Elephas maximus indicus: one gene and its partners. The protein of the gene in region 3 purifies or fractionates together with the protein of the main gene of each other region. This does not show direct contact. Links are inferred from orthologs where the notes say so. Each region holds a gene or a part of one and is shown on either strand. Other genes may lie near its edges.

Region 1 (7,927 bases), on a different chromosome or scaffold from region 3:
TCATCTGACATATATTTTACTTATCGACTTGTTTGTCTGTCTTTCCCTGCCAATATGAAAGCCCCACAAGGCCTGAGATACCTTTCGGCTTGTGCTGTCCGCTGTTCTAAAGCCCAACACCCAAAACAGTGCGTGGTCTATGGTGTCAGTACCAGCTGCCATTGAGTTGATTCCAACTGATGGTCAGAGTGGAACTGTGCTTCATAGGGTTTTCAATGGCTGATTTTTTGGAAGAAGATCGCCAGGCTTTTCTTTTGAGGCACCTCTGGGTAGACTCAAACCTCCAACCTTTTGGTTACCAGCCGAGCACATAAACCTCTTACACCACCCAGGGTCTCCATGTGGCCTATGACCACTTGCCGTCAAGTTGATTCTGACTCTACAGAAGGTGTTTAATAAATACCTATTGAATAAATGCATGAACATATGAATGAACGAATCCATCTACTCCCAGGCCTTCTGGTCCTGTCCCTGTGCTGACAAGTCCCACACCTCTGGCTCTGGCTCCATATCCAATCCCTAACTGTCTCTTGGATGCTGCCCCATGAATGCCCCAAAGTCATATCAAACCTGGATGTCCCAACAAACACATCACCTTCCCAAGCTGCTCTCTCTCTGGGTAACCCATTTCAGCTGCACTCTTGCCCTCAGTCTCCCAGCCAAAGAACCTGGTACCTCATCTGGCTCCTCCTGCTTCCTCACCCTCTACGTCCAGTCTTTTCTGCCTCCAGTCTCCGTGTTTCCACTGCAACATGCAAACTCAAACATGATTTCCCTTGGGGTCACCTGATCATAAGGAAGCCCAGGAGAATCATCACCCAGTAATAATAACATAAATCCCACCCCTTACACAAACACCTGCATGTTGACAGATCACTCTTGCAGACATTATGTCACTGAATTTTCACAACAACCCTGGGCTTAGATCTTATTATTCCTAATGGACAGATAAGAAAACAGGTTCAGAGAAACGAAACATTTGCCTGAGGTCAGAGAGTGAGTAAGAGGGAGAGCATGAATTCAGGTCCCGATAATAAATCCTGAGCAAGCTGTACCTCCCTCAATTTAAAACACTGACTCTTGAGCCAGCTGCATAACTTCTCTGGGCCTTAGTTTCCTCATCTGCAAGATGGAGATAATAATAGACCCTAGGTCACGGGGCTTTTTATAAGAACTCAACAAGTCAATCCATATGAGGTGTTTAGAACGGTGATTGGCAGGTTGTAACATAAATAAATGTTAGTGCTCATTATTATTATGTTAGGGTTTCAGGAAATTTTGTGGGTCTGTGTATTTTTCCTGGGAAGAGAATTCTCAGCTTCTATCGAATTCTCAAAAGGCTCTATGATCCCAAAGTTTTTTTTAGAATCCCTGGTCAATACAGAGACCAAGATTGTTCAGTGTCAAATACAATCATGCAAGCCTTCCCAACATTCCTTCCCAAACACCCCCACATTCAGAACTAAGGAATGTGGCCAAAATCAAGAAAGTGTCTAAACAGAAAGCAGTAAGTACAATCTCAGCCTCAGAAAACCAAGATCACGCAGGTGAAACAGTCGATGCTTAATACACATTTGGCATTCTTCTCCCATCGTTTTCGTATTCCTGACAAGAACATCCTGTGTGGAATTCTGTAACTATCTCAGGTCAAGCTGCTCTCTCCTATTTGCCTCCCTCCAACCTCACAGGAAGTTTTAGTGGTACAAATGGTTAAGTGCCCAACTACTAATTAAAAGGTTGGCAGTTCGAATCTACCCAAAGTTGCCTCAGGAGACAGGCTTGGCCATCTGCTTCTGAAATGTCACAGCCTTGAAAACCCTATGAAGCAATTATACTTTGCACACATGCGGTGGCCGTGAGACAGAATCAATGTGATAGCAAAACATTAACAACATTAATAACCTCACAGGACTGTGGAGTGAATTCAGTGAGAACATGTACAAAAAGTACTCAGAAAAACGCCAGCCAGCACTCCAGAAATGGTAGCTGAGACTGGTCACTTCACTTCCCCTTCCTACACCTCAGTTTCCTCATTGTTAAAAACGGACTTGACTGGCATAAATGATCTTCCTGGACACCTTCCTGCGCTGAGTCCACTGACCTTAGTAGTCAGGATACATGGCAATAATTCACTCTGTTCCCATTGAGGAAAATAAGGCCCGGAATGTGGAAGCAACCTACCAGGGCCACATCCTGATGCCATGGTCATCTCTGGCCTAGTTCTTGGGTCTCTTTTCTTCTATGCTGTGGGGCACAGGGATCACACAACCCATTTTCGGGGTAAGGAAGCTGAGGCCCAGAAGGGAAAGTGACTCAGTGCACTGCCAGCTGACTCAAGAGCTGAGCCTGGACCCTGGGTCTCCAGACTTCTGGTGAGACGAAGGTGGGGAGAGGGCAGGGTCACCTGGAGGACCACAGAGATGGTCTTCTCGCCTGCCTTGGCTGCCCGCCATTTCCGGTAAGTGTCCGCCTTGAGAAGGTTTTCTGCACAGTGGGTCTAGGGACAAGAATGGGAGAGGGTTATGGCACTGAGATGAGAGCTAGGCTCAGCTCTCAGATTATTTCTCCGAATCCTTCCAAGCTCTCTGCGATCCCCCAGATGTAAGTTCCTCTGTTAATCCCCCCACACCCTGCCTTGAGTTTCCTCTACAACCTTCTCCTCTAGAAGTTCACCTCCAGGCTCTCCCGAGAAAGTTCCCCTATTGCTCCTTTTCTCTCCGGAAACTCCACAGACGCCCGGAAGTTCCTCTATCCCACATCTCTCCCAGAGTTCACTTAGACCCTCCTGGAAATTTACCCTTGGCTTTTTTTCTGCTTAGACCTTCCTGAAGTTCCTTGTTACACCCCCAAAGGTTCTTGTAGAGCACCCCTCATTAATCTCCTTACGTCTTCCAACCTCCCCCACGCCGGCCCCTCACCGAGTCCTGGCTGCTGCAGGACACGACATGACGGAGGCGGATCTCCGGCATGTCAAAGTCGTGGCCTTCGCCTGGCCCGAAGGAGGCAAGTGGGCCTGGGTTTGGGGGCGGGGAGGGTGGGGGCGCTCCTCTGCACGGGCTTCAGTACGCAAGCGCGCAAGGCTCGGGCCTTTCAAACTGCGGCGCGCCGGCGCCCGCGTCGACATTGCGCATGCTCAGTTGCGCCTTTAAGGCGCGGAGTGGCGAGGACCCAGCAACAAGCTTTTCTCTAGCCCCGCCTCTCTCTGACCCCACTGCTCTAACCTCTCCTCCCGGTGACGTTTACATCCTGCTTCCTGGGCGCCTAGCAACTGGAGCGGCCTCCGGGATTGGTCCCCAGGAGAAATTCGCCATTCTCATTGGACAATGCGATCACCGCCCAAACTGAAGCCTAAACACAAGACAGCCAACCTGAGTTGGATTTTCGCGGGGAGCCTAATCGGCTCCCTTGGCTACACGCACACACACACGCACACACAGCTTAGAGTACTCCCACCCACGCCTCAGTTCCCCAATGTGACCTGTGAGCATCTGTCTCCTGCCACGCCCACGCTAGCCGCGGACAGGCACCCCTCTGTTCGGTCCGCAACAGACCCAGGCGTGCAGCCCTGGACGGGGTCGGCGCCAGAGAAAGCCCGGACATAAAGAAGGGAGCATGAGCCAAGTGCTAGAAGGAAAAGGGAAGGAGGACAAGTCGCCTGGGTCCTGCAGAACAAGCATGGACATGCTGGGCACTCCCAGGTGGGGCCCCACCCATGCTAGGTGCCTCCTTGGGAAGGTGAGAGGGGATCCCAGTCCTTGTAGCTGCTTCGCACCCACAGGGAATACAGTGACCCCACTCAGACCTTGGGCTTTGAGTAAAGAAGATGTGGGTGTGAAAAATGGGAAAGTGATCTCTTGGGTCCTGATGGAAGAGGGTGCTGGAACCCCAGACTCCCGGGATTCCAGTGGAGGAGGGGGCTGGGCACCAGATGCCTGGATACCTTTTGGATGCTAGTTGCACCTCCCCTACCCGGGGGCTGCAGAGACCTGCCCTGGGCTCAATCTGACCTCAGCTCCTTCTCACCGCAGGTGAAGGTGGGTCTGGACCCGCCCCTCCTCAGCTTCCTATAAGGGCTGGGGACACGGGACTACAGGTTCACACACCATGAGGACCTCTGCTGGACCCAGGGCCTTCCTGCTGACCTTCACGCTGCTCTGCACCCTTCTGGGTCTCGGTGAGTGACTGGGGCCCTGGACTCCTGGGACCCTCAGGAAAGCAGGGACTATAAAAGAACATTCAGCAAATGTCCTCAGGGGGTAAAGTGGGGTACCCAGGGATACAGACTCATGGAGGAGGCAGACACTAACAGAGAGTCTGGGGCCCCAAGGGAAGAAATGCTCATATGACTGGACCCCTGAGAGAGAAGGGGGCTTGATGGGCTCTGAATCCTCTTTCCCTTAGGTAGGGTCCCAAAGCAACACATCCAAATTCTAGAAAATCAGATGAGAGCATGACTAGAAAGGGTTTTTTTGTTTTGTTTTTGTTTTTTTAATTAAGAGAGAGAATATGAATGAGAGAGAGCTCCTTTTTCCCTGGACTCTTAATAACTTCAGGCCCCCTTTTCCCTCAGACCCAAGGGTCCAGCCCCCCAGCCCTCTTCTCCCTCAGACCCAGCATCCCAGGCCCCTCCTTCCTCAGACTCAGGAGTCTGGACACCAGCCCCACTTTCTCCATGACCCAGGTGTCTGGGCCCCCAGCCCCTCCTCTGTCAACACTAAGGGGTCCATGCCCCCAGCCCTCCTGGTCCTCACTCTCCCTCCTTGGACTGGAGGCAAACTCCAGCTTCAGGTACCGCTGCCTGAGCTCCTACTGTTTGCAAGACCTAAGTTGTATCTGCAAGTGGGAGGGCTCCAAACCCTTGAACCAGCTGAACCTGAAACTTCATGAAAGCCTTCAGTACGAACCCTCCCAGCTCTGAGCTTTCTCTGCGGATCCTGTCCTCCAAAGCCCCCAGCCTTGTAATTAGGTAACAGGCTTCACGGTGGAGTCGCTTCCTGCCCTGGGAGCAGCTTTGGTGACATCATCACCGCGTTCCTGTCAGAGTTCTGGACAGGTCCCCGGACACGCAGCAATGTCCCACCCATGAAAAACCAGAGAGACACCAGCCTCTCTCAAGACCCATCAGTCTGGGCCTTGGACCTTCCTCAGGACCAGAAATCCAGTCCCTTCCTCCCTCAAACCCTGCCCCCATCTCCCTCGGGACTCCGAAGTGGGAGTCGTGGCCCACTAATCGCACCGCCCATGACTACAGCCCCGATCTCTACCCTATAGGATGCCCACTAAGCTGTGAGGTGTGCAAGGGCCCTGGGCCCACGTGCAACGGAAAAATGAAGACATGCGAGGATGGCAAGGACGCGTGCGTAGTCGTCGTGGGGGAGTCGAGCACAAGTACGAACGCAGGGCTTTTGCAGGGCTTCTGACCATAGCTAGGGGGCTGGGGGAGAACCTTCAGGGTGGGAAAAAGATACCACCAGGCGGAAGCGGGGCGTGGGGGGGGGCGGTGCGGGAGGGGTCATCCCAGTTCGCAAGCAGGGTGAGGCGTGAGAAGAAATTTGGATGGGGTAGGCAAGAGGAAACAACCATCACAAGGTGGAGGGAGGACAACTGAATGGAGACACAAGCCATTTTTAGATTTTTAAAAAACGAGCAACTCCAAAAGAAGATGGCTATGGGGGAGGGCTTAAAGAGACTTTCTTAGGCGGGAGGGGGTGAGGAAAGGACAAGGAGGAACAGAGAAATACAGTGGAAGAATCTAATAGGCAAGGAGAACGGGAGGGTGATAGAGAAGAAGGAAGAGACTGGGAGAAGGTCCGAGGAACGTGATCAGGGAAGAGACCATTTTGGACAAGAGGGAGGAATCGACCAAAAGATGTCTTGAAGAGACCACCTCAGGGATGTCGGGGAGACCATTTCTGACAGGAGGAGGAGAGATGATGTTGGGGTAGAGGGAGAGAGGGAGAGACCATTCCAGACGGGGGGGGACGATAACTACGAATTATGGAGAAAATCATCCTAAGGGGGGGGACTGGGGACGAAGAATGAAATGGAAGGAAGAGGGGGAGCATGACTTAAATGGAAGAGACCATTCCAGACCTGAGAAAGGCTGAAAGAACACCAATGGAATAGACCACTGGGGGGGGGGGGGATTTTCTTTCAAAGCTGAAAGAGACCATTCCTCACAGGAGGAGAGATGGGGCAAGATGCAGGAGGAGAGGCTGTGACAGGAGATGAGGGGTAACCCTGCGTGTAGGAAGAAACCACCCTGACAGGAAAAGTTGTATAAGAAAGTTGGGCTAGAAGATTGCATGCAGTCCCACCCACGCAGCAAACGTTGGCTGGTGGCAGAAAGGACTTGAAAGGCTTGAGGAGAGCAACCACAGCAGATAGGGGAAGATATAGACCCTGAAGGGGTGTTGAAGGGAGCTGGAGAAAAGTCACCCTTGGGAGTGAGAGAAAGAAGGGAAACCACTGGATTGAGCTGGAAGGAGGGCAGCAAGAGACCATCAAAGGGAGGCCTGGGGATGGACCATGGGGGAGTGTGGAAGAGACCGCCCTAGACAGAGTAGGGGCACAGGTGTTGGGGCGGGAGTGTGCAGTATCCCAGGGTTTGTTGGAAGTGACCCCCCCAGGCGCAGAGGGCGAAAGTTCTGAGGCTGGAAGAGACCACCTCAAGAAGACATGGGGGGTAACCATTAAACGGCCTGAAAAAGCCCACTACAGGCTGGACAGGAGAGAAGGATGGCAGTGGAGTGGTTTGAAAGAGACCATGTCAAGCAGGCACCTGGGGAGTTGGCAATGGAGAGCTGCAGTAGACCCCCAAAGACCTAATGCGGCCTAGGCAATGAGTAGGGAGGGCTTCCTAACATGCCACTCCAAAGTATACCCAGGCGGACCAGGCGTATGGCTTTAGAGGGCTGCAAGAGACCACCCCAGGCAGATAAGGGGGTATAGATTTGGGGCTGGAAGAGATTGTCCCAGGCAGTTGCTGGTGGGGGCGGGTAGGGTTAGAAGAGCCCTCGAGGCTGGGTGTGGCCAAATGCCTTGCCCAGCCCCTTATTCCATCCTCCACCCCACAGAGGGACGTCAGTCGGTGAACACCTACAAGGCCTGCATGAAGTTCAAAGACTGCTACTCCGGCTTTGTGTCCACCACCATGGGCCCCAAGGACTACATGGTTTCCAATGCATACTGCTGCCAGAGCGATGGCTGCAATCAAGGCTCCATACCCTGTAAGCATCTACCCTGGCCCGCGCAGGGAGCCCCTTCTAGCCCTGTCCCAAGAGCTGTGTGGTGACATCTGGCAAGCACCTTACTTGCACAGAGCCTCAGACTCCCCACATGTAAAATACGTGGTGGCTCTGTATCCCCCAGAGTGGTTGTGTGGTTGGGGGATGGGCTTTAATGTCCTTGTTCACCTTGCACTCCCCCCAGCTCCCCAAAACAATCGAACCGAGAATGGCCTCCAGTGCCCAGCCTGCATTGCGCCCTTCCAGGAGACTTGTCCTGGGACCCAGGCAGCCCGCTGTGTTGGCCAGGAGACCCACTGCATCTACTTTGCTGGCAATGTGCAGGCTGGTGAGGAGCACCTGGGTCACTGGAGGAGGAGGGGGCCTCGGAATTGGAGGCCCAGACTTCTGGGCTCCAGGGAATAAGGGGGCTCCAGAGAACTAGGAGAGGAGGTTGCTGGGATCCAGGACTCCTAGGTTGTGAAGAAGATAGTGGGCTGGGGTGTAAGGGTTGGGGGCCCTGTCTCTAATCTGAAATCTCTTCCCCAGGAATCATCAACACCAAATTTGCCACTCGGGGCTGTGCTACAGAGAGTGCGTGCTACACCAAGGCTGGGTCTGAGGTGCCCTCAGCCTCCTATCTCTACTTCCTCCACCGAGCAGACTGCCTTCCAGCACCCCAGCCTCCTGGCAGGGCTGAG
Region 2 (7,600 bases), on a different chromosome or scaffold from region 3:
ACTTGGTTCCCCCCCAAAAAACTTTTATTTTCATGTGAAGATCCACTAAGTCTAGTAACATAAACTCCATTCCGGATTAACGACTGTTACAAAAACAAAAAAGTTGGTTCCTCTAACATACACTAAAACCTAATTTCCACTTCTTTCAGGATTATTAATTGGTCTCTCTAGCTATGCTTAAAATCTACAAAATATAAATAATGACCTTTTTGCTGTACGCTCAATATTTATCATTAACATCTAAGTGAACAGATCTGAGTTACCTTCAGAGCCAACCTACAAATTGTTCTGTCACCCGGGACTTGCCCTCCTCAAATCAGACAAGCCCTGGTCAGAAACATTAAGGTACCACAGGCAATGAGTAGTTCTCCAGCTTTAATGTCAATCAGAATTGATTCAAATGGTCTAGGATGCAGTCTAGCAGCCTAGATCTTTAAGCAATTACACCTAGTAAGTTACGGTGCTACGCTCTGGGTCCGCACTACGAGAAAAGGTGCCTAAGAGGACCGAGTCAATCACAGTTCAAAACCCAGTCTCCAGGTTCTTCTGCATTACTTCATATGATCAGTAATTTTTTTGAACTTTATAAAGCAGAAACAGAATTCCACTAGGTTATGCCTAGGTTTGAGAATACCAATGTCAATTTATGAATGTTCTGTTAAAGTGAAAATTAAACTGTGTGGCATTAAAAGGCTATTACAATACATCAAAAACCATTTAATAGGCAATATACAAAATTACACTACCCAATTACCAATGTAAAATTACAAAAATTTATTATTTCAAGAATAAAATTACTTACGCCTTTTTAATATCCTCGGGTGAGGCATGTCTCTGCACGCCTAAAACTTCATAGTAATCCACCATGTTTTACCAGATCGTTGGAACGAATCCTGTAATTAAAAATCTCTGGTCAATGACAAGACTGCCAAGTTTCAGTACATAATGGGGGATGGGTGCAGGGTAGGAAATGGAGGAAGGGTGAGGTGGACCACATCTCAGCAACTACTGGCCCTACGTGACAGAAATAATTTTTGTTAGCTAACCATTATCCCTGTCAGGCTGTCAACAGGTTCCAGGTCTCATGCTCTAAACCCCTTCTTGATACAGGAGAAAAAAGTTCTGAAATAGCCTAATAATAGCCTAAACTAAATAAAACTAACAGGTGACTCTGAGGCAGAGAGACGCACTGCCCACTTGATCACTTAACCGGCAGGCTCATTTTGGGAATCTTGTTTTCCTAGACACAGGCAGACCTTCAGTTACCTCATCTGCCCAACGCGTTCCATGTGCCAGGTATTGTGCAAGACTTTGGGTCTACAAGGATGAACACACTGTCCCTGTCCTCAGGAAACTTAAAATGGGAATGACATAAAGACACTCTTCCGGGTTTCTGTAGCTCTCACTACCCAAATAGAAAAAGTCTTCTCACACACACCCCTGCTTTGTCTTCCTGGGAGATAACATGGAAATCTGACTACCGTGCTATTAGTGTAATTTTACCCCTGGCTCAAATTCTCCATCCATTTATCAAACAAAAACAATATTTTCCTGTTGTCAATACTAATTACAAGTTATTAGTACAGATAATGCCTTCAGCAGAAAACAGGAGCACAAATTCTGCTTCACCTCCGGTGGGTTCAGTTGGTTCTTACGTCACAGGGTAACACAGTAAAAAGCAGTTCTGTTTCCCTACTTGAGAGGCTGCAGCCTCTGGTCCCATAAACCAGACAGGAACTACACACACGCTGCCCCTTTCAGTGCTGGCAAGTGGTAGCAGCAGTATTAAAGTGTAAGTTCTCCTACTTCTTCAAATCTGACTAGCTAAATCACTTTATTAAACCTATGAACAAGAAACTCCATAGAACAGGTCTACTACATGCAAAAGTATAAAATAACTTCAACCAATTAAGCAAGTTCTGTTATAAATCCACTCAGCCAAACTGAAGCTAGGCTTTCAGTAGCCTTTCCAGAAACTATGGTTCCAGGAATTTTCAAAAGAAATATTCTGATTACAAAAGAATACATGAGATCATATATTCTTAAGGCAGATACACCACGTTGCTGAGGCTGCATGATGTCGAGGTCAAATAATGCCAAAATTATGAGTTATTCCATTTTGCACAGTTTTATTATATTTATGCTTTCCAGATTTGGGAAGCAACCTATGGTAACAAATAAATTTTACATCATGACTCCAAACACGTATACACTTCCACCTGTACAACACCAGAACATTTACAGAGTACCTACTACACAACAGATCAGTACCTACTACACGGCACATCAGTACCTACTACACGGCACATCAGTACCTACTACACGGCACATCAGTACCTACTACACAGCAGATCAGTACCTACTACACGGCAGATCAGTACCTACTACAGGACAGATTAGTACCTACTACACGGCACATCAGTACCTACTACACGACAGTTCAGTACCTACTACACGGCAGATCAGTACCTACTACACGGCAGATCAGTACCTACTACACGACAGATCAGTACCTACTACACGGCAGATCAGTACCTACTACACGGCAGATCAGTACCTACTACACGACAGATTAGTACCTACTACATGGCACATCAGTACCTACTACACGACAGTTCAGTACCTACTACACGGCAGATCAGTACCTACTACACGGCAGATCAGTACCTACTACACGGCACATCAGTACCTACTACACGACAGTTCAGTACCTACTACATGGCAGATCAGTACCTACTACACGGCAGATCAGTACCTACTACACGACAGTTCAGTACCTACTACACGGCAGATCAGTACCTACTACACGGCACATCAGTACCTACTACACGGCACATCAGTACCACTACATGACAGTTCAGTACCTACTACACGGCACATCAGTACCTACTACATGGCAGATCAGTACCTACTACACGGCACATCAGTACCACTACATGACAGTTCAGTACCTACTACACGGCACATCAGTACCTACTACACGGCACATCAGTACCACTACACCACAGTTCAGTACCTACTACACGGCAGATCAGTACCTACTACACGGCACATCAGTACCTACTACACGACAGTTCAGTACCTACTACATGGCAGATCAGTACCTACTACACGGCAGATCAGTACCTACTACACGACAGTTCAGTACCTACTACACGGCAGATCAGTACCTACTACACGGCAGATCAGTACCTACTACACGGCACATCAGTACCACTACATGACAGTTCAGTACCTACTACACGGCACATCAGTACCTACTACATGGCAGATCAGTACCTACTACACGGCACATCAGTACCACTACATGACAGTTCAGTACCTACTACACGGCACATCAGTACCTACTACACGGCACATCAGTACCACTACACAACAGTTCAGTACCTACTACACGGCAGATCAGTACCTACTACACGGCAGATCAGTACCTACTACACGGCAGATCAGTACCACTACACGGCAGATCAGTACCACTACACGGCAGATCAGTACCACTACACGACAGATTAGTACCTACCACATGACAGATTAGTACCTACCACACGACAGATTAGTACCTACTATACGACAGATTAGGAAGAAGCATACAGAGCTCAGACTCGCTTCTAACCAATCCAGAAGCTAGTAAACCAAAACAGTTAACTCCAAAAGTCACACAGCGAGCTAACAGGACTTCCTACTACAAGTACCTAGAAATGTAGACACATTACAAAAAGTAAACTTGCAGAGACGACTTAGCTCCCAATGAGAGAGAAAGAATAGGAAATATATGGGATAAGCAAATAAATGTAGAGACCAAAATTTATAAGCGGCTACCAATGATGGGAGGTGAGTAGAAAAGGGGGAGTCATTCATTGCTTAGGGTCACTGACCTTCTGTTAACAGTGGGTGATGGCTGTACAATGTAACGAACATAGTCAATGTCACTGAATCGTAAACTTAAAAAATGTTGAGTTGGCAAATGTTCTGTTATATATATATTTTTACAACAATAAAGCAATTTTTTAAAAGACAGAAAGAGCTCAAGGGCCAGAAGCAAACAGGAATTACAAGCAAGAGCAGTAATCCTGAGGTAGCCTGTACATCTGTGTGAGAGGGAAGCAGAGGAGTGGGAGGGCGTTGGGGTTTCAGGCTGAAGGCCTGCTCTGCAGGCACAAGAAACCAGTGGCTGTAACTAAGATTCCTACATAAACGTGGGCTCATCAAGACTTACGGGGTTGCAACTCCAAAAAAGAGGGGCAAGAAAAGCTCTTCCCACTGAACCACTAAGAGGAAAGGAGAAGGCAGCCCAGAGAGCCTGAGGCCCTAAAAGCTAAACTGACTTTTATTACCTGCATTACCCTGCAGTGCCCCAAGCTTTCCTAAAATTAACGAATATTAACCCCAGGATAGTGCCGCAACAAAGGTGTGGAGGAGAAACATCTCCACAATCCACGTCGCAAAGATTCCCACAGAAAACACAAATTCTGCCAAAGACAAGCTCATAACTAAATCCTAAATACGAAGAAAGAACTCAGGATGCCTAAGTTACAACACTCCCCCCCCCGCCCCCGAAACTGAAATAAGAACCTGAAAGAGAAAATGAAGCATGCATAAAGTAATTAAGATAAACCAAAGGAACAGCAGCTACGCTACAGGTAAACAGAAAACAATCAGGTCATAGGAAAACAATCCAAAATCATAATTATTACTAACCACTGGGATTTTAAAGCAAGTTAAATAGAACTAATGAGAGAATGTCCTACCGTGGTAGCTTGTGTATTGCTATGATGCTGGAAGCTATGCCACCAGTATTTCAAGTGTCAGCAGGGTCGCCCATGGTGGACAAGCTTCAGCAGAGACTCCAGACTAAGACAGACTTAGAAGAAAGGCCTGACGCTCTATTTCCAAAAACTGGTCAGTGAATCCCTTAAGGATCACAACAGGCTCTTATCCAAGATAGTGGTGGCAGATGAGCCTCCTAGGTTGGAAGGAACTACCCAATGAATGCAACAACAGACTCGAACATACCAATGATTATCAAGATGGCGCAGAACCAGGCAACGTTTGGTGAAGCTCAACAGCAACTAGCAACAAGACAGAGTTTGTGATCTCGGAATCAGACCTGAGGAAATTATCCAGGAGAGTACACAAATGTATTGAGGCATGGATACAGAATTAGAAGGTTCAACATAAATCTGAAGAAAATCAGAAGGAAAGATCAGAGAGAAAATGTTACTGTTAGCTCCTATCAAGTTGGCCTCGACTCATGGCGACCCCATGAACAACTAACCACCACCCAGGATAATAACCCAAACCCACTGCCGTCGAGTCGATTCCGACTCATAGCAACCCAACAGGACAGGGTAGAACTGCCCCATGTAGAGTTTCCAAGGAGCACCTGGCGGATTTGAACTGTCAACCTCTTAGTAGCACTTAACCACTTCACCACCAGGGTTTCCGAGACTTTATATAGTAGATATTAAAAAAAAATTTTTTTTTTTTTTATTAAAAGCAACCATAAAGACTATCTGCGAAAGAATGTCATTTAGAAAAAAAAAAAAAAAATCAAACCCGTTGCCATCGAGTCAATTCTGACTCATAGCGACCCTACAGGAAGAGCAGAACTGCTCCACAGGGTTTCCAAAGCTGGTAGATTTGAACTGCCAATCTTCTGGTTAGCAGATGTAGCTCTTAACCACTGTGTCATCAGGACTCCAATTATTTAGATAACAGACATCTTTTTTTTTTTTCTTTTTTAAGATATAGGGTGCCGTATGAGTCGGAATTGACTTGATTGCAACAGGTTTTGGGATAGATTTTTAACAACTGAGGCCAGAAGGCAAAGAAAGAAAGAGCCTTGAAAAATGCAGAGGAAAATAACTATCAACCTAGAACTCTATTTGTAACTAAATTACCAGTCAAAGGAAGGACCAGACTGATATTTTAAGACAAAGTTTACTGAAAGAACCCTTTCTAAAGAATGTAGTAACCGAACAATAATGGTTAGCAAAAACACTGTTAAAACAGATTGGTAGCCCTAAACACCAGTTTCTTTTTAAGTGATTTAAAAAAGTGATACATAATTATGACCAACTTGGGGAGGTTTTAAAACAAGATTCAACAAAGTTCTAGTAATCACAGGATAAGGAGAGCTCATTTAAAGGTTCCTTCGTTCTTTGGGAGGCAGAAGACAGAGCTATGGCACGCATGCTAAAATCCTAAGGACAAGCACTAACAACACAAAATGCAGAAAGGGGAGGGAGGAGGCAGGGAAGCTGTGTTTTTTAATTTGACAAACATATGGCAGTCAGGCACAATTCTAAGTGCTCTATAAATATTATTTATTAAACACAATAACTGCAAATATATTAAAGACATTTTCAAATTGAACTTTTAAAATTACCTTGTTTCCGAGAGTCGCATACAAAATTCGGGCTAATGGGATGGAAAAGACTCACCAGGCAAATACCAAAAACGTTCAGCAGTACTAAACCCCCAGGAAGGACATACGTGAATACAACATGCATTACCAGGAACAATTTTTTCCCAATGAAAAAACAGGGAATCCTGAACCCAACACAGCCTCATGGAACATCTAAAGCAAAAGCAGAGTTACAAGGCAAAAGGCACACACCCACAATCACTGCATCATTGTGACAGATCAGACACAAAGTAAGCCTAAAAAATCTGAGCACTGCTAATACGCTTGCTGTGATGGACATAAAACAGGGTCAAGCACATACACGTATAATTGAGCATGCACACCAATTCTGGAACACTCACAAAAGCAATAAAAACAGAAATAATATCAGAAACGCACAAAGGAACAACTGTGTAAACTTCAAACTCTTGTTTTTCAAAAAGCTCTTGGATCAAATAAACCATAAAGGAAATTAGGATATACGGTAAAACCTGCAAAAACTGGAACCCGTGTAAGGCAAAAAAAAAAAAAAAAAAAACCCTGTCAGAGACAGAAAGCACAAATATTTTTCACTAAAACAAACAAAAGAAAAAGAATAAGGCAGCACCCTGCCAAAGGTGCAAAACTTGCGAGACCTGGAAAAACAAGGCAGCCCCGTTGAGTTCCGGTTCTCACAAGTTTCAACGTACTTAAACCAAAAACCAAACCCAGTGCCGCTGAGTCCATTCCAACTCATAGCAACCCTACAGGACAGAGCAGAACTGCCCCCCATAGAGTTTCCAAGGAGCACCTGGCGGATTCGAACTGCCAAACCCTTGGTTAGCCGCCATAGCACTTAACCACTACGCCACCAGGGTTTCCTGAATGTACTTAGATGTAAAGACTTAACTATATGTATCAATTTGATAGATTCACCGAAGTGAAATTAAGAAACACATAACCTTAAATAACATATAAAAGGGACTTATAAAGTGGGTGGGTATAAGCTTTAAGAAACCATGAAAAGGACTACAAGATTTGACATTTATAAAATCAAAATGTTTTGTCTTAAATAGATTTATTCCCAGAACTCAAAAGAATTTAGGAAGATAAACTATACGGTTTTTTTTTTCTTGTAACTACTCCAACTTAACATTAATATCTAATTATCTTGATAGATACCTAAAAAAGAACAAAATACTAACTGTGGAATGT
Region 3 (6,660 bases):
CAGAAATATTACAAACCATAAGAAAATATTTCAAACACAGTAATTCCAGGTTGCCTTTTTTATCTGAACAAAATGGAAAGTTGAGCAACAAAAGCTACTATAAATTACCAGCGGTGCCAACCTGCATGGCCATTTTTGCTTTTAACAGTAAGTTAAAAAATTTAGTACAATCTAAAACTTTTGCCCTTTTAAAGAAGACCACGGAGATGGTTTTGCCAGTACGTATTCTTGATTTTTCCTTTTGTACAATTTCAAAACAATTAAAATGTCCAAATCTGAGTAATTTTCTTCTTTCCGCGTTTGCAACTGTCCTAAATTCCAGCTGCAGAATCAAAATTCAGCAAGAAGCCTCTCCTTGAAAAATATTGGCAAATTCTCAGCTTATAAACAATGGACATTTTGATTGCCATGTTTATTTCGATAAATACTGTACAAAAGTTGCTTGCAAATATTAAAACATTTTTTCGTCGCTTGGAGACTAGCTCTAAATATTCTTGGTAAAGACATTTGCAAACTTTCTGCAAAGTTCCTACCGTACCACTAGGACTTTTAAAAAGTTTTGCGTAGTTCTCTCTTCTCCAGATCTATACAAGGTCCATTCCCCCGCCCTCCCCACCCCCCCACCCCGCTTTTCTCTGTACAAAAATACTCCCCAAAAAGAAGTCCAGGATCTCTCATAAAAGTTTCTTCGTCAGCGTGGCGGTTTTTGCTTGAGCGTGGATGGGATCGGTGTTCTGTTTTGGAGCTGTCATTCGCTGCGGGCGATGAGATTTTTGCCGTAGTTGAGCGAATCGGCTTTTTCTCCGGGCGGTGTCTTTCTCTCTCCACTTTCGCGCCCCCTGCCCTTTCCCACGTTTTTTCTTTGCAAATATCTGCCCCCTCCAGTTCGCCGGCCGGCCCTCACATGTGCGAGAGGGGCAGTGTGCCGTTAATGGCCGTGCCCGGCACCGGGCCGCTCTGGTAGTGCTGGGACATGTGAAGTCTGCTGGGCGCGGCGGGCTCCGGCACCTCGGCGCCGGGCAGGTACATGCTGATCATGTCCCGGAGGTCCCCGGCCTGGCAGGGCGCCCTGGAATGGGAGGAAGAGGTAACCACGGGGGGGCTGGAGCTGGCCTCGGACTTGACCACCGAGCCCATGGAGCCGAGAGCCATGCCGGGGGTGGCTTGCTGCGTGTAGGACATGCTGTAGGTGGGCGAGCCGTTCATGTAGGTCTGCGAGCTGGTCATGGAGTTGTACTGCAGCGCGCTCACGTCGTAGCGGTGCATGGGCTGCATCTGGGCGGCGCCGTGCGCGTTGAGGCCCGGGTGCTGCGGATAGCCCAGCTGGTCCTGCATCACGCCGTAGCTACCGTTGCTCCAGCCGTTCATGTGCGCGTAGCTGTCCATGCGCTGGTTCACGCCCGCGCCCAGGCCGGCGCCCACCCCGACTCCGCTCGCCATGCTGTTGCCGCCCGGCGCCAGCAGCCCGCCGGGCAGCGTGTACTTATCCTTCTTCATCAGCGTCTTGGTTTTCCGCCGGGGCCGGTATTTATAATCCGGGTGCTCCTTCATGTGCAGCGCGCGCAGCCGCTTGGCTTCGTCGATGAACGGCCGCTTCTCCGTCTCCGACAAAAGTTTCCACTCGGCGCCCAGGCGCTTGCTGATCTCCGAGTTGTGCATCTTGGGGTTCTCCTGGGCCATCTTGCGCCGCTGCCCGCGGGACCACACCATGAAGGCGTTCATGGGCCGCTTGACACGGTCCGGGCTGTTTTTCTGGTTGCCGCCCGCCGCCGCCGCGGTGGAGTTACCGCCGCCACCGCCCCCCGAAGTTTGCTGCGGGCCCGGCGGCTTCAGCTCCGTCTCCATCATGTTATACATGCGGGCGCTGTGCGCGGGCCCGGCCCGCCGGCGGCCGCAGACCTTCGGCCCGGCCGGGACTTTGGGGGGCCCGCGGGCGGGGGGGAGAGGAGGGGAGGCGTGCGGGGGCGGCGGGAGCGCGGGGCTCGGCGCGGAAAAGCAGACGAAGGATAATTTGCGGGGAAGAAGAAAGAGGCCAACTGCAATCAAGATCAGACACCGCGCTGCCCTCCTCCTCCTCCTCCTCCTCCTCCTCCTCCTCCTCCTCCTCCGGACGGTCCCGCCGCCGCCGACTGTTGTTATTTTTTGGAAAGGCTTAAGTCTGGGGCTCGAACTTCTTTCGTTCTCTCTCCTCTTCTTTCTCTCGGTCGTAGTCTTAAAGAGGCAGCAAACTACTTTCCCCCTTTTGCAAACACCCTCTTCTCTGCCTTGACAACTCCTGATACTTTTTTGAACAAGTTAATAGACAACCGTCCATGTGATGGGGCTGTCAGGGAATAAATGGGTTTCCAGCGGCCAATCAGCGCGCGCCGGCTCCTCCACTCCAGCCCGGCCTCGCCGCCGGCTTTGCATGAAAGGGGGCGGGGCCTGTGCGCCGGCCCGCGGGGGAAGGGGGAAGGAGGGGGAGGGGAAAGGAGGGGGGGAGGGGAGGGGAGGGGAGGGGAGGGGAGGGGGCGGCTCCCATAGCCCGCCTGCCAGCCACTAAGAAACCTTTGTATCCCCTCCCTGCAACAGGTCACACCACACGCCTTTTCGGAGGAAGTGGGTAAACAGTACTAAGACTACGTTTTTTTTTTTTCCTTTAAACTTTAACATTGATTTACTTTTTGCTGTGGAGCGCTGAAATGCGGGAAGGGGCTAAGGTGCGGCGGCCGGGCAGGGCCGAGGGCTGGCTCCGGGCGACTGGCCGGCTAGCATTTCAGGAAGCAGGCCGTGCAGGACCTGGTGTCGTTGTCCCCCTCTCCTCCGCGCACGTCCGCCCAGCTGCAGCCCCTCGAGGCTTCTCCTTCCGCGCCCTTCCCGCGGCCCCGCGGCCTCCACGGGTGCCAGGGCTCTCTGGCCCCCTCTCACGGTCCCGACAAGAAGTTCGGAGTCTGGGAAACACTGTCCCCAAAACCCTCATTGTTTCCACACAACTTGCTCTGTTTTTAAAAAGAAATCCTGCTCCGGCCATGAGGCAGACTCTAGAGCCGAGGACAGGCAGGGCCTTGGTGAGCTGTGGCAACCACCCTTTTTCCTGCCCGAATCGGGTTTGGCCCAGCAAACCACAGCTGGTCCCCTTGCCGCCCCCTCCCCCAGCTCCCACCGTCTCCTCCAACTCGGTCGGTGCCCACGGATGCGCACGCTCGTACCCTCTCCCCATTTTTCTCCTGAGACTACCCAAAGAAGGATTTCAGTTGTGCGGGTTTCCAACGGCGGCTGGGAGAAGAAAGAGACAGAAGGACGCTCAAAAGTACAGGCAGTGGGGGGAGAGTGATTTCAACTTCCAGGCATCTCACGGCGCACACGGAGGTGGCATTTGGGCGGACTCACAAACTCCCTCCCACGCAGAGTTCCCAGGACTCCAGCAGAACCAGCCTGGGCAACCCCCCCGCTGGCTCCGAGGCAGGGGCCGCATCTCCGAGGGGGCTGCGCTTCGAGGGGGCTCCTGGCCTGGGAGGCGGGGGTAGGGCCCGCCACGCACAGGTGCAGGCTGCGCTTGCAGGGAGAAGGGGGCCAGGACTGGGCAGGGGGAGCCCAGGAAGGCGGGGGCTGGAGGATGGGATGCGCGGTGGGGGTAGGGACTCAGGAATGGTGCCCGCCCAGGGCCCAAGAGGGTAATTTTAGCCGCTCTCCCATTGTCCCGACGTAAAGATTTCAGTAGGTAGGCGCTCAATGCCCAGAGCAGTGGCAGCACGTCCGTTACAAATAGGTAGTTTTGTCTCTCTTGTTGTCGCTACACGGAGTCAAACAAAGCCCGGTCTAAGTTTCCTTCCACTCTCTTGTTGGGATCTTTGTGGCTAAAATGCACTTGACTCCAAAGGGGGAGGGGGGGAGGGAGGAGAAAAAAAAAAAAAACCTGATGCCATTTCTATTTTATAAAGGGCTTAAACCATCAGGGTTACTTATTTTCTTCTGTAACTCTCACCGCCCTCCCCTCCCCTGACCTTCCCTTACGCACCCTAAGCAAACGTACTGAATGGTATCCACCGGCCACGTTCCGTTTGTTATCTTTGCAAAACGGGGCATTGTTTTGTTCCTTACTGTCTTCTTCTCAATAACCGCCCCCTCACCCCTCAAAAAAAAAAAAAAAAAAAAACCCTCAAGCTTCCCCCAATCCCTGCCCTCCTGGCTTTTCTCTTCTTGGCAAACTCAAGCTAAGTGTGCCCACTGGAAATCCAGAAAAGTTATGAAAAAAATAAATCCTGCAGACTAAATTATTTCGAACCAACCCTTCTTCCCCCACAGGTTCTCATTTTTCTAAGTTGCCGTTTGTGTTTGCTTTCGGGAACTCAAGAAGGGTGAAGCTGGACTTCTCGATATGTATGAATATGTGGTATTGGTAGTCTTCAAAATAAAGCAATGTCTTCTGTTTAATCGAGGTGTTATATTAAAGTAAACGCTGACGTCGAGATTAGGAAAGAAAAGGTTGAGAGAGCTGGAGACCGCGGCCACCAGCTTTTCAGCGCGGCTTGTTTCAGGGATGTGGCTGGTGCGCCCCCTACTGGTGGATTTGTTTTCCCAAGACTACGCCTTTTCCTTAAAAAGAAAGTGTTTGGGATTAAAGGGAAAAAAATGAGGGGGATGGGAGGAAGATCAAACTAATTACACGTAATCTAAACAAAAGAAAAGTTAACATATCATACAAGCTGTGGACCAAATCATAAGAATCAGATTTAATTTGCTTAGCTTAGAAATGTACATATAACCTCGAGATAAGTGGGAGGTTAAGCCATGGGAAAAAATACGTACGAATTATGAGATTCAACATATGAATGAATGATTATTGTCCAGAAGCCACGAAGGGCAGACCCAGCATTCACTTTATGATTGGGTACGAACTGGTCTGCGCTTAATGGCATTCTTCCGAAAACTAAAAAAAAAAAAAAAAAAAGCTCTTGGATAATTAAGTTCGAATAAAAAAACCCAAGGGGCTGGTGCCGATAATAGTGCTGTATACGTATGGAAATAAATACTAATAACAGATCGTTAGAGAAGGAAATCTTTTTAATCTCTCTCTCTTCCTCAATCATAGCAAGATGCACAATTTTTTCCCCTTAAGGTGATATATAAAACCTTTTGCACATTCTCAGCCCGAACTCTATCATAATGCATTTAAGAGGTTAAAGGGGCTGCTAGGTCCTTTGTTAATTGCTTTTATCATATAAATAAGGTATGGAAATACATTACAATTGTGTTCTTACTGGTTGCATTTATGTGCAGCTTTATTTTAATTAAGCCTGCTGTACTTATCAAGGCGATAAACTAACTGTGGCTGGCATTTATGAATAACCATGTGCTAAGAAAACCAGATTAAAGAAGATGCTGATAGCAGAGACAATTTTCTCGTTAGATTTTTTGGAACATATGTATTAAAAAAATCAGATCGCTGGCCACTCTATTTCAACCCCTAAATATAATACTAACTATAACAACCACAAGAGTCGACAGAACAACACTGTTTCAGGATCTTAGCAGACAACTACAGTATAACAATACACCAGTGACTACTAGGGAACCAAAATAAGACTTGGAACAGAGTTCTTTGTCCTGTGAGAGTTTAAAACGTTGCCATTGACACAATTTATGAAAACGGAAAGTCCTTAATCTAAAGAGAGTGAAACATTTCCCTTCCATGGGCAGGGGAAAAAAAAAAAAAAAAAAAAACCCTAAGAACTTTTAGCGCAAGGTTAAAAAAAAAAAAAAAGGAACAAATGCATAACTACTGGAATATTCTGATTCGATTTTGTTTTACCGTAGGCTGGATCCAAAAAGGGCTGCTAAGTGTAACTCAATTTTAAAGATTTTTTTTTTGCATTGATTTATCTTTCCTAAAGCCCCCACATCCCTCTAAATCTTCAAGTATTATATCTAAAGCCAACTAACAATTTTGTGGAGACGGGGACTGTAGACTTATTTTTTCTTCTTAGTGGCAAATAGTGGTTTAACTTGCAGTAATTAGGTGAGAACTAGCCAAGCATCTGACTATTATGATGCTTGTTAAATAACGCTTCTTTTCTGCATCTGAATTTGAGTGTGTTCCCCTCCTCTCTTAATCTTCTTATGGAAATGAAGGCAGACGGCAGGGAACCTGCAGAGTCTTGGAGAATGTCCTTGTTAACTGGAATTTCTCAGCATTGCTAATTAGCAGAGTTTGACGACCACCAGTACTGGGGGGAAGCTCTGTTTAACCACTCGCTAACCATTCCGAGGAAGAGCGGACTAATTTTATTCTGTAATTAAAACCTGAAAAGGGCCCCATTGGACAGTTAGGGCTGTGAGAGTTTTATCTCCCCGTGAAATAATTACTGCTTTGATAACTCAATTTTCTGGAAAAAATGTCAACTGTGGGCTCGAAAAGTTCTAATTTCATTACATAAGAAAAAAGAGAGAGCCATAGAAGAAAATGTACAGAGAGGCTTTCTAATTCTGGAACTGGTTAAATATATTAGGAGTCAAATTTGGCCAAATGAAGGTTTTTTTTTCCTTTCTTATTTCTTTGTCCTGTTTCCTCCAGACCCTAACCTTCCAACTATCTGCGAGCAAGTGATGACAGCATTGATCACACTTCAGTGTAAGTGATCACATCAGGAGTCTGGTAAGCCAGAGAGGCAGAGCAACCCA
Region 4 (7,659 bases), on a different chromosome or scaffold from region 3:
TGTGAGCATTCATTAAATACTCAGTAAGAGGTCACCCTGTGCAGCACTCTTCTAGGCACAGGAGATGCACTGGTGAACAAAGCAGAAAATATCTCTGCCCTTTTGAAGCTGACCTAGTCGTGAATGAGAAGGGGTGGTCAACAAATAGAGTATATCCTTCACAAGATGCTGATAAGGTCAAAATAATACAAAGCTGGTAAAAGGTCAGAGAGAAAAGGTGGGCAGTGTAGGAAGAGTTGCCTAAGTCTTGTGACACCTTTTGGGAATGGGCAGAGGTGCCTGGGGGAGTCGTTGTCCCAAGTGCTGGCCTCTACTCTCTGAGTTTTATTCTTCTGCATTTTGGCCTCATCATCTTCACTGTCCTGTTAGCTCTCCGATGCTTTCAAACAGATTTTATTTTTAATACTTTATCCAACTAGGCCTTAATTTTTAAGTACAAATTGTAGCAGGTGGGGGGAAGGGAGGTATAAGTGTGTGGACCTAGAGTTCTAGACTCAGACTGAGTTCAAATTCTGGCTATGTTGCTTACTAACTTTGCTACCTTCAGCAAATTATTTCGTCTGTGTACCCCGGTTTCCTAATAGGTGAAAATAAGGGTAAGAGTAACTTCCTTACAGTGTTACCACGAAAATTAAATATTTAATGTAAAGCACTCAGACCAGTGCCTGGCACCTAATTGTTATAGCTACATTTTTCTTACATGTGTCCTCATCATATACTACTACGTACTATTCCATGTTCTCAGAATCTGTCTTTTCCAGATCATTTAGAAATACCCTAAAAGCTGCACCCAACATAGATCAAGACTTATCCATGCTAAGAAGTATCCCAATTCTGTTCTTTCACTGAGCCAGTAGTACCTCAATCCCATCTCTCTAGTTAAAATTTGAGTTTGGTTAAAAAAAAAAAAAGGGGGGGGGGAGACATCAAAAAAGCCAAAGTTAAAAAATTAAAAGGCACTCTTTTGGTAGAAGTTAAGCAATGCAGGCAGGGAGGGTGAAAATTATAACTAACTTTTGAGGATCAATAGTTTTTGATGGTTACCCTAAGAAACCACCTTTTGCTTAAGAGATGACCACCACACTGGATGCCTGATGTTCGGTTACAAAGGCAAAAAATATCCTGAGTTTCATACCTTGTTGGGTACCGTGGATTTACAGCTAGAAGACAGCTGAGGTGACAAATTATTACTTAATGATTATAGGTCAAAGAGAGCTGTGATAGTGCTTTTACACATCATTTAACCTTCATAACTCATCATTCCCACTCTACAGATGAGATTACTGAGGTTCAGTTTCCCAAAGCCATGTAACTAGTTAAGGATCAGAATTTTAAACCAAAGCCAACACCTTGAAGTTCTAAAATTTGTTACTTTCTTTTCCTCATACATGTTATCTGGACTGATTATTTGAAGATTTGGGTAAATAAAAATTAGAATATCAGGTCAAGCTTTACCAATCAGTCTGACATTCCTAAATCTGCATGTACATTTTTTCAGATTCAATCAGACATATTTGGTGTTTGCTATATGCAAGGGATTGTGAAAAATTTAAAGATGAAAAGCAATTACTGCCCTCAAAGAACCTGCCAGAAGAACACAATAAACATTAATGTTTCAAACAATGTGGATGGGTGGACAGGGCAGCAAAACAGTGAGTTAAAAAAATGTAAGCAGTTTATCAAAAAGTTTTTATTCTTGACCCCCACGTACTTTAGTTTACGGTGTTGAAAACTAGACTCCTTACCAATGCTGGAAGATAGAGAACAAAAGGGAGGGAAACGATATTTTCATAATGATCTGCCTTTTATATCAATCTGATCAGAGTCCAACTACTCATTTAGTGTTAAAGGCTGTGAATTTCTACTTAGGAAAATTTACGTATCATAAGAAATACTTACTAAAATGTCTTAACGAGAAGCAAGGCAAATCTGAGCGACTAGATGCTTGGCCAGGGCCGATCAGGAAAGGAATGCCAGTCTACAGACAGAGAACAAAGACTACCATTCCTGATCTCTAGTTCACAACTGAAACCAATAGAAAAAACCAAAAAGATCGAGCCTTTCACGTACAAGCATCGCGAAACTTCTCTCAATCTCATTTGGAAACGGCAAGCAAACCATCCTGGAGTTCCTTCCCTCTCTCTCTCATCTCATTTCACTGTCTCTAGGGTTATTTTTCCTTCTTGAATGATGAAGGTGAACGCACATCATAAAATAAAGGGGGCCAACCTTTTGGCTTGTCGCAATTAATCATTTTATCAGCCGAAGTCGGAAATCTCATTCGGAAAACCTCAAGCTCGGATTCCCACAGGTCGCTCCTACCTGGGGGAAACTTAAGCTCCAGTTACCGCTAAGTCCGACCGGACCCCACAGTAGACGGCGCGCTGGACAGGGCACTCCAGCCTCACCTCGGCCCTCCCTCCCACGGTCCCTCTCCAACCGGGCTGTGTCTTCATCTCTTACACCACCCACCACCTGCAATCGAAAAGGCTTTCTTTCCCTTTGGGAGAACAGGGAAATAAACATTCATTTCTGGAAGAATCTGAGCACTCAGAGCGCGGGGCAGCTGCAAGAGGTGGGAAAGGGAAGGGTTGGAAGGGTGACGGAGAGCTCAGCACCATCCATCAAGATCTCTGCGCTAAGAGATCGCCAAGCCGCCTTCGGGCCTCCACTGCAGCCTAGAAATTCTCCCTCGCACCCTGCGAAAGAATGAGGCTTTGGAAACCAGGTTCCCGAAGATAAGAGTAGGGGAGTTCACGAATGCCTCGGTCCCGAGGGGGCGGGAAGCGAGAGGAACAAAGCCGCTGCCACCCACGCCCCCGGGTGGCCGGGCGGCCCGCTCACCTGCCGTCAGCAACTGCATGGCGTGAGTGAAGGACGGGTCCAGCGAGTCCTTCTCGGCCATAAGCTCGGGCAGGTACTTGTTCTCTGGCTCCATTTTAACGGAGGCAGTGGCTGAGGGGGGCAGCAGCGGGGTCGGCGCTGGACCTACTGTCGCATCGGGACCGGTGGCCGAGGGCGGCAGCAGCGGTGGCGGCTGCGTGGCGGGCGAGGCCCGGGCGCCCCCCCGGGATCCTCCTCCGCCTCCCCGGGACCGGTGAGGCAGCGGGGGCTGCCGAGACGGTGTCTGACGCACTGAGGGATGGGCACCTGAAGGGTCCATGGAGCCACTGCGGCCCGAGGACCGGCTCATGCGCGCGGCGGGATCGTCCCGGCGCTGCATTTGGGAGGACGTGCGGTCAACGGATCGAGGAAGAGACGCGGCAGCTGCAGAGGCCCGAGCGGCGGTTGGCGAAGGTGGGAGAGCCTGGGCGATCGCGACCGAAGCCGACCCGAGCGACCCAGCAAAAGAGAGCACCGGAAATGAGGCGGCGCGCGTGCGCAGCCAGCCACCGGCACCGCCCTTGGGTTTATCCGCGGAGAACAAAGTCCCTAGTGGAGTCACAGCGCCTGCGCACCACCTAGGCGCCCGAGGAAGTCGCCTCCCCACTCCTCATTTCCCTCTGAGCCCGCTAGGCCTAAGGTTTGTGCGCGTGCGCGGGTGGCTCCGGCTTCGTTCGTTTTCTTTTCCACGTGACTCGGCGCTAGCGGGACACGTGTCTCCTCCCCCTTCTGGCCGAGTGCGCGGAGGGGGCAGGGACTGTGGAATGTCTTTGTCTGCGCGGGGGCCCGCGGAGTGTGGGGCGGGAGAGCTGTTACTCGCGGGGCCACGCCCCCTTCAACGGCTGAGCTGTGGGGCCAGGTTGCGTTCAATGGGCTGGGGGTGGGGGTGGGGGTGGGGGTATGGGGTGAAGTGGGGAGTCGTTGAAGTGTGGAAACGAAAGGAGAACCGAGTAGCGCACCGGGAAGGAGCGAGAATTGAGGCCGCTGGGCAGGAAAGAGGAGGGAGAGAGGCTGCCTAAGTGTGGAGAGGGGGAGAGAAAGGGAGTAGGAGAAAGGGTGAAGAGGCAAAGACTAATGGAGAGTTTGACGTAGGGATGAGGAGTGGAGATGGGGAAGGGAAGCTTGGAGGGATAAATTGAGGAAGGACGGCTTAGTGGGGAGACTAAATGCTGTTGGGAGAATTTGAACTAAGAGGGAAGATTCAGATCGGAGACCTGAAATCTCGCAATGGCACGCACAAAGGGAACCAGAGAAGTCTTATCCCATGGCTTGCAATACAGTAGGCTCTTAAACGTTAACCTTTGTTGGTCAGAGAAGTCTTCGTAAAGGAAGGAGTGTTTTAACACTTATTTACATATCGGTCTGCTTTCACTCAGTCTGTTTCTTCCGCAAAAAATGGGGCTAGAGCTTAATTCGTGGCGGTTGCATCATGTGGGGTGTCTCTTCTTCGGATGAGTGACTTCGGATGAGCGTTAGTCCTTCTGCCTCTGTTGGGCCCTCCATGATGGATTATTCCAGACTTGCTCAGAGAGACAGACCCTGCTTTGAAGACCAGGGTACACACCGCACAGTCTCCGTGCGCGTTCGCCTCTTGCTGGGGCTGGTATATGCAAAGTGGAGCCCAGGTCACTACTTTCCAATGAACATTCCCATAAAAGGTTAGTGCCTTCTCTAACCTTTCCTTCTCTCCACAGATTTTGACTTCCCCCATTCAAAGCATTCACTACCATCCCTTTTCTTTCTTGATCACTTCCCCCAATGAGCCCACACTGTTCAAAAGCATTTCTGGAAATTTTCTTTTGGGTGCCTTGAAACTACTGAATTTTGAAATCAGTGTAATTTGACATTATTAAATGTAATCATTTTTGAAACTTACAAGTCTTCAACTAGGGCACATAAGGGCCTGGCTACCTTTTTCTGGTGGGGGTGGGAAGAAATTACCTACAGAAATCATTACAAAACACAGATATCTCCATAAATTGTCTTGCCTGTCTTACTCCCTCAGTGCAACCACAGTGCCCCCCCCCCCCACCCTTATCTCCAGTGTTTGGTGCGGCACTTTACTTTGAGGTCACATAAGAAGTGGCTCTTGTCCTTAGTTTATAGTCCAGTAGGAGAATAAAAGAATGTTTTGAATAATTGTAATGCAGAATGCAATATGACAAAGTGTCAAAAGATAAGGGAAAATTAAGGGTTACCAGAGATCAAAGCAGGGGAAGAGAGATGTCAGCCTGGGAAGAATGAGTTCCAGGCAAAGGGGAGCGTGAATAAACGAGCAGAGATGAGAACGTCAGAAACGCGTCAGAAACGCATTCACGGAATGGGAGTAATCCATTTGTGGACTGTGAAGGAATAGGTGGGTTGGGTGGAGAAAGAGACTGCATGGAGGGAGGAAAGGGGGCAGAGAGGATTTATAGCTCCCTTGCAATTCATTTCTGCCGCCATCCCTGAAAATCCTGCTTGGGTGGTGGTGTTACAAATGACTGAAGTGTCCTTGCTCTGTAGTGAGATGCCCAGATGGAGGTACCTTGAGCTGAGGCTAATAAAACTTTGATAAAGAAGTGTCTGAGAAGGAGTTGGGTAGTGGTGCCTATGGGTTTTCTAGACTAGGATCAACAGACTTTTTGGGTGGCAGGCAAACCTTTGCTTACTTTCTCTGAGGGTGGGTTGAGGGAAGCCTGTGTAACCTCCACGAATGGGGGATCCAGCAGGCTTCAACCACCTCCTCTGTTGTTGCAGCCAGTTCCCAGGAGAGAAAGGGCCCTGGGCAGGAGAATTTCTCTTCCAAGAGTGTAGTTAACCTGTTCAGTCTTAAACATCTTTAATCAGTTGTCATTCAGTCCTTTCCTACTCATGGGGGCCCCATGTGTGTCAGGGTAGAACTGTGCTCCGTAGGGTTTTCAATGGCTAATTTTTTGGAAGTACATCACTTGGTGCCAAATATGTGGAGGGAGGGGAGAGGGGACACAGAAATGGGGACTCAACATTGAGTAAGAGAGAGTCCTTGCCCTCCAGGAGCTCTTCATTTAGTGAAGACAAATACGTAAGCCAAGAGTTACCACATAGTGTGAAAAAAGTTATAATAGAAGAACATACAGACGGTTGTGGGAATGCACAGGAAGGAGTGACCAACTGTGGCAGGTGGTGAGTTAGGGAAGCTGGGACTTGGCTGGCTGCCAGGTGGAGAGGGAGCAGGGCATTTAAACGTTGGGCGTTCAGCAAAGCTTGGTCTTGTGCCTGTACTGTCGCCTCCGTGCCCACAGCTCTGGAATTTAGATCTTCAGCCCAAACTTCTAAGTTCTAAACCCAGAGGCTGTTTGTATACCTGACATCCACATTTGGATGTCTCACTGTCCTTTCAAACTCAACATGTTTTTACCATGGTACTAGCAGAGCAGCTTTAGGGCCCAAATGACTTAACGTAGCTCAAAGCTTGGGGAAGCTCCTTCTTCTTGAACACAGGCCTGCTCCAGCACCTTGAGGGCATCCAAAAAAAAAAAAACAAACCCATTGCCATCAAGTCAATTCTGACCCTGTAGGACAGAGCAGAACTGCCCCATAGGGTTTCCAAGGAGCACCTGGTAGATTCAAACTTCTGAGCTTTTGTTTAGCAGCCTAACACTTAACCACTATACCACTAGGGTTTCCTTGAGAGCATCAGGGCTAGAAAAACATAAGGAGGCACTCACTTTCCAGACTTGCTTGCCTCACTCTAGCCCTGGTGTTGCCCTTAGCACCCTCACAGTGGGCACCTTTGCTAGGGGCGGTGGGCGGGAGCAGAAGGGAGCAGAGCAGGGCTGATGTGCCCGCAGACTGCCTTGTCTATCAGGCACATGTGAAAAGTCCCTTGAAATGTCCCAGAAATACCTGTAGGGACTTTGCGGGGGCAAGAACAGAATATCTTCATGATTGATGTTCCTGTGGCTTTGTTTGAATCCACAGTCCAGAGAGGCCTGCTTGATGTTTGAACTATAATGATCTTTTTGGCCTGCTTCCTCAAACAGCAGGTGAGCCACTTTAAGGCAGGCACCATTTCTGTTTATGTATAAACAGAGACAGGTACAGAGAGGGCATTCAGTAAATGCCTTCAAAAAAACTCCCATTCTCCACCCTGCCTTCACTGCCAACCTGTGTTCACTATCTTAGGGAACAACACCCTCAACTCACTGCCCAAGGCAGAAATCTGGGAGTCGTCCTTAACTTCTACCTGCTGTCTCATAGCTCTACCCGCATCGTATCAATTCATTACTAAGTATTATTGTTTTTACCTCATAAATATCACAACTCCCGTCCACTTTTCTCTATCTCCACTGCCTCTACTTCCTTCTGAAGTGCCATCATGTCTCACCTGAACTCCTACCACCTCTGACCTGGTCTCCATACTTCCACTCCTGTGCCTCTTCCATCCATTCCCCACCTAGAAGCTAGCATATTTAAAAGCGCAGATCTAATCATCTTTCTTCCCACCCTCCATTCTGTCACAAACACACACACATACACACCTGGTTAAACCTTTTCAGTGGCTTCCTCTTGCCCTTAGATAAAGGCTAGAATCCTTTATCTGACCCAGCCCTGCTTGCATGGCTTGGCCCCACCTGGCTTTCTTGCTTCATCTCAGGCTATTCCCCTCCTTAGTTCCTGTGCTTGGCAACCCTGGCCTTTTTCAGTTCCTCAGACAAATCAAGACTCCTGTGTCCCCCAAACTTCACACATTTTGGTTCCTCAATCTAAATCTCCAATCACTGCTCCCCTCCCTGCAATCCAGCCCTCCCTGCC

What was found.
Region 1: the proteins of SOX2 (region 3) and XRCC1 purify together in Homo sapiens (affinity purification with mass spectrometry; 3 studies listed by BioGRID and IntAct, with this or other methods). This does not show direct contact. The link is inferred for Elephas maximus indicus from reciprocal best matches to the Homo sapiens genes SOX2 and XRCC1.
Region 2: the proteins of SOX2 (region 3) and DNAJB6 purify together in Homo sapiens (affinity purification with mass spectrometry; 3 studies listed by BioGRID and IntAct, with this or other methods). This does not show direct contact. The link is inferred for Elephas maximus indicus from reciprocal best matches to the Homo sapiens genes SOX2 and DNAJB6.
Region 4: the proteins of SOX2 (region 3) and KHDRBS1 purify together in Homo sapiens (affinity purification with mass spectrometry; 3 studies listed by BioGRID and IntAct, with this or other methods). This does not show direct contact. The link is inferred for Elephas maximus indicus from reciprocal best matches to the Homo sapiens genes SOX2 and KHDRBS1.

The regions. Positions count from the first base shown.
Region 1 is NC_064829.1:106,923,382-106,931,308, reverse strand, and holds the start of XRCC1 (DNA repair protein XRCC1), read right to left. Parts: upstream 3,057-7,927; 5' UTR 2,970-3,056; coding exon 2,919-2,969; intron 2,498-2,918; coding exon 2,405-2,497; intron 2,388-2,404; exon of another isoform or gene 2,182-2,387; intron 1-2,181. Other genes in the region: PINLYP (phospholipase A2 inhibitor and Ly6/PLAUR domain-containing protein), read left to right, coding at 4,105-4,174, 5,272-5,388, 7,077-7,229, 7,432-7,575, 7,776-7,927. UniProt on the Homo sapiens protein: Scaffold protein involved in DNA single-strand break repair by mediating the assembly of DNA break repair protein complexes. Negatively regulates ADP-ribosyltransferase activity of PARP1 during base-excision repair in order to prevent excessive PARP1 activity.
Region 2 is NC_064838.1:2,562,653-2,570,252, forward strand, and holds the start of DNAJB6 (dnaJ homolog subfamily B member 6), read right to left. Parts: upstream 3,352-7,600; 5' UTR 3,017-3,351; intron 2,969-3,016; exon of another isoform or gene 2,822-2,968; intron 2,800-2,821; 5' UTR 2,580-2,799; exon of another isoform or gene 2,514-2,579; 5' UTR 868-2,513; coding exon 803-867; intron 1-802. UniProt on the Homo sapiens protein: Has a stimulatory effect on the ATPase activity of HSP70 in a dose-dependent and time-dependent manner and hence acts as a co-chaperone of HSP70. Plays an indispensable role in the organization of KRT8/KRT18 filaments.
Region 3 is NC_064819.1:33,262,062-33,268,721, forward strand, and holds SOX2 (transcription factor SOX-2), read right to left. Parts: upstream 1,898-6,660; 5' UTR 1,858-1,897; coding exon 901-1,857; 3' UTR 640-900; downstream 1-639. UniProt on the Homo sapiens protein: Transcription factor that forms a trimeric complex with OCT4 on DNA and controls the expression of a number of genes involved in embryonic development such as YES1, FGF4, UTF1 and ZFP206. Binds to the proximal enhancer region of NANOG.
Region 4 is NC_064821.1:72,957,851-72,965,509, reverse strand, and holds the start of KHDRBS1 (KH domain-containing, RNA-binding, signal transduction-associated protein 1), read right to left. Parts: upstream 3,431-7,659; 5' UTR 3,224-3,430; coding exon 2,845-3,223; intron 1-2,844. UniProt on the Homo sapiens protein: Recruited and tyrosine phosphorylated by several receptor systems, for example the T-cell, leptin and insulin receptors. Once phosphorylated, functions as an adapter protein in signal transduction cascades by binding to SH2 and SH3 domain-containing proteins.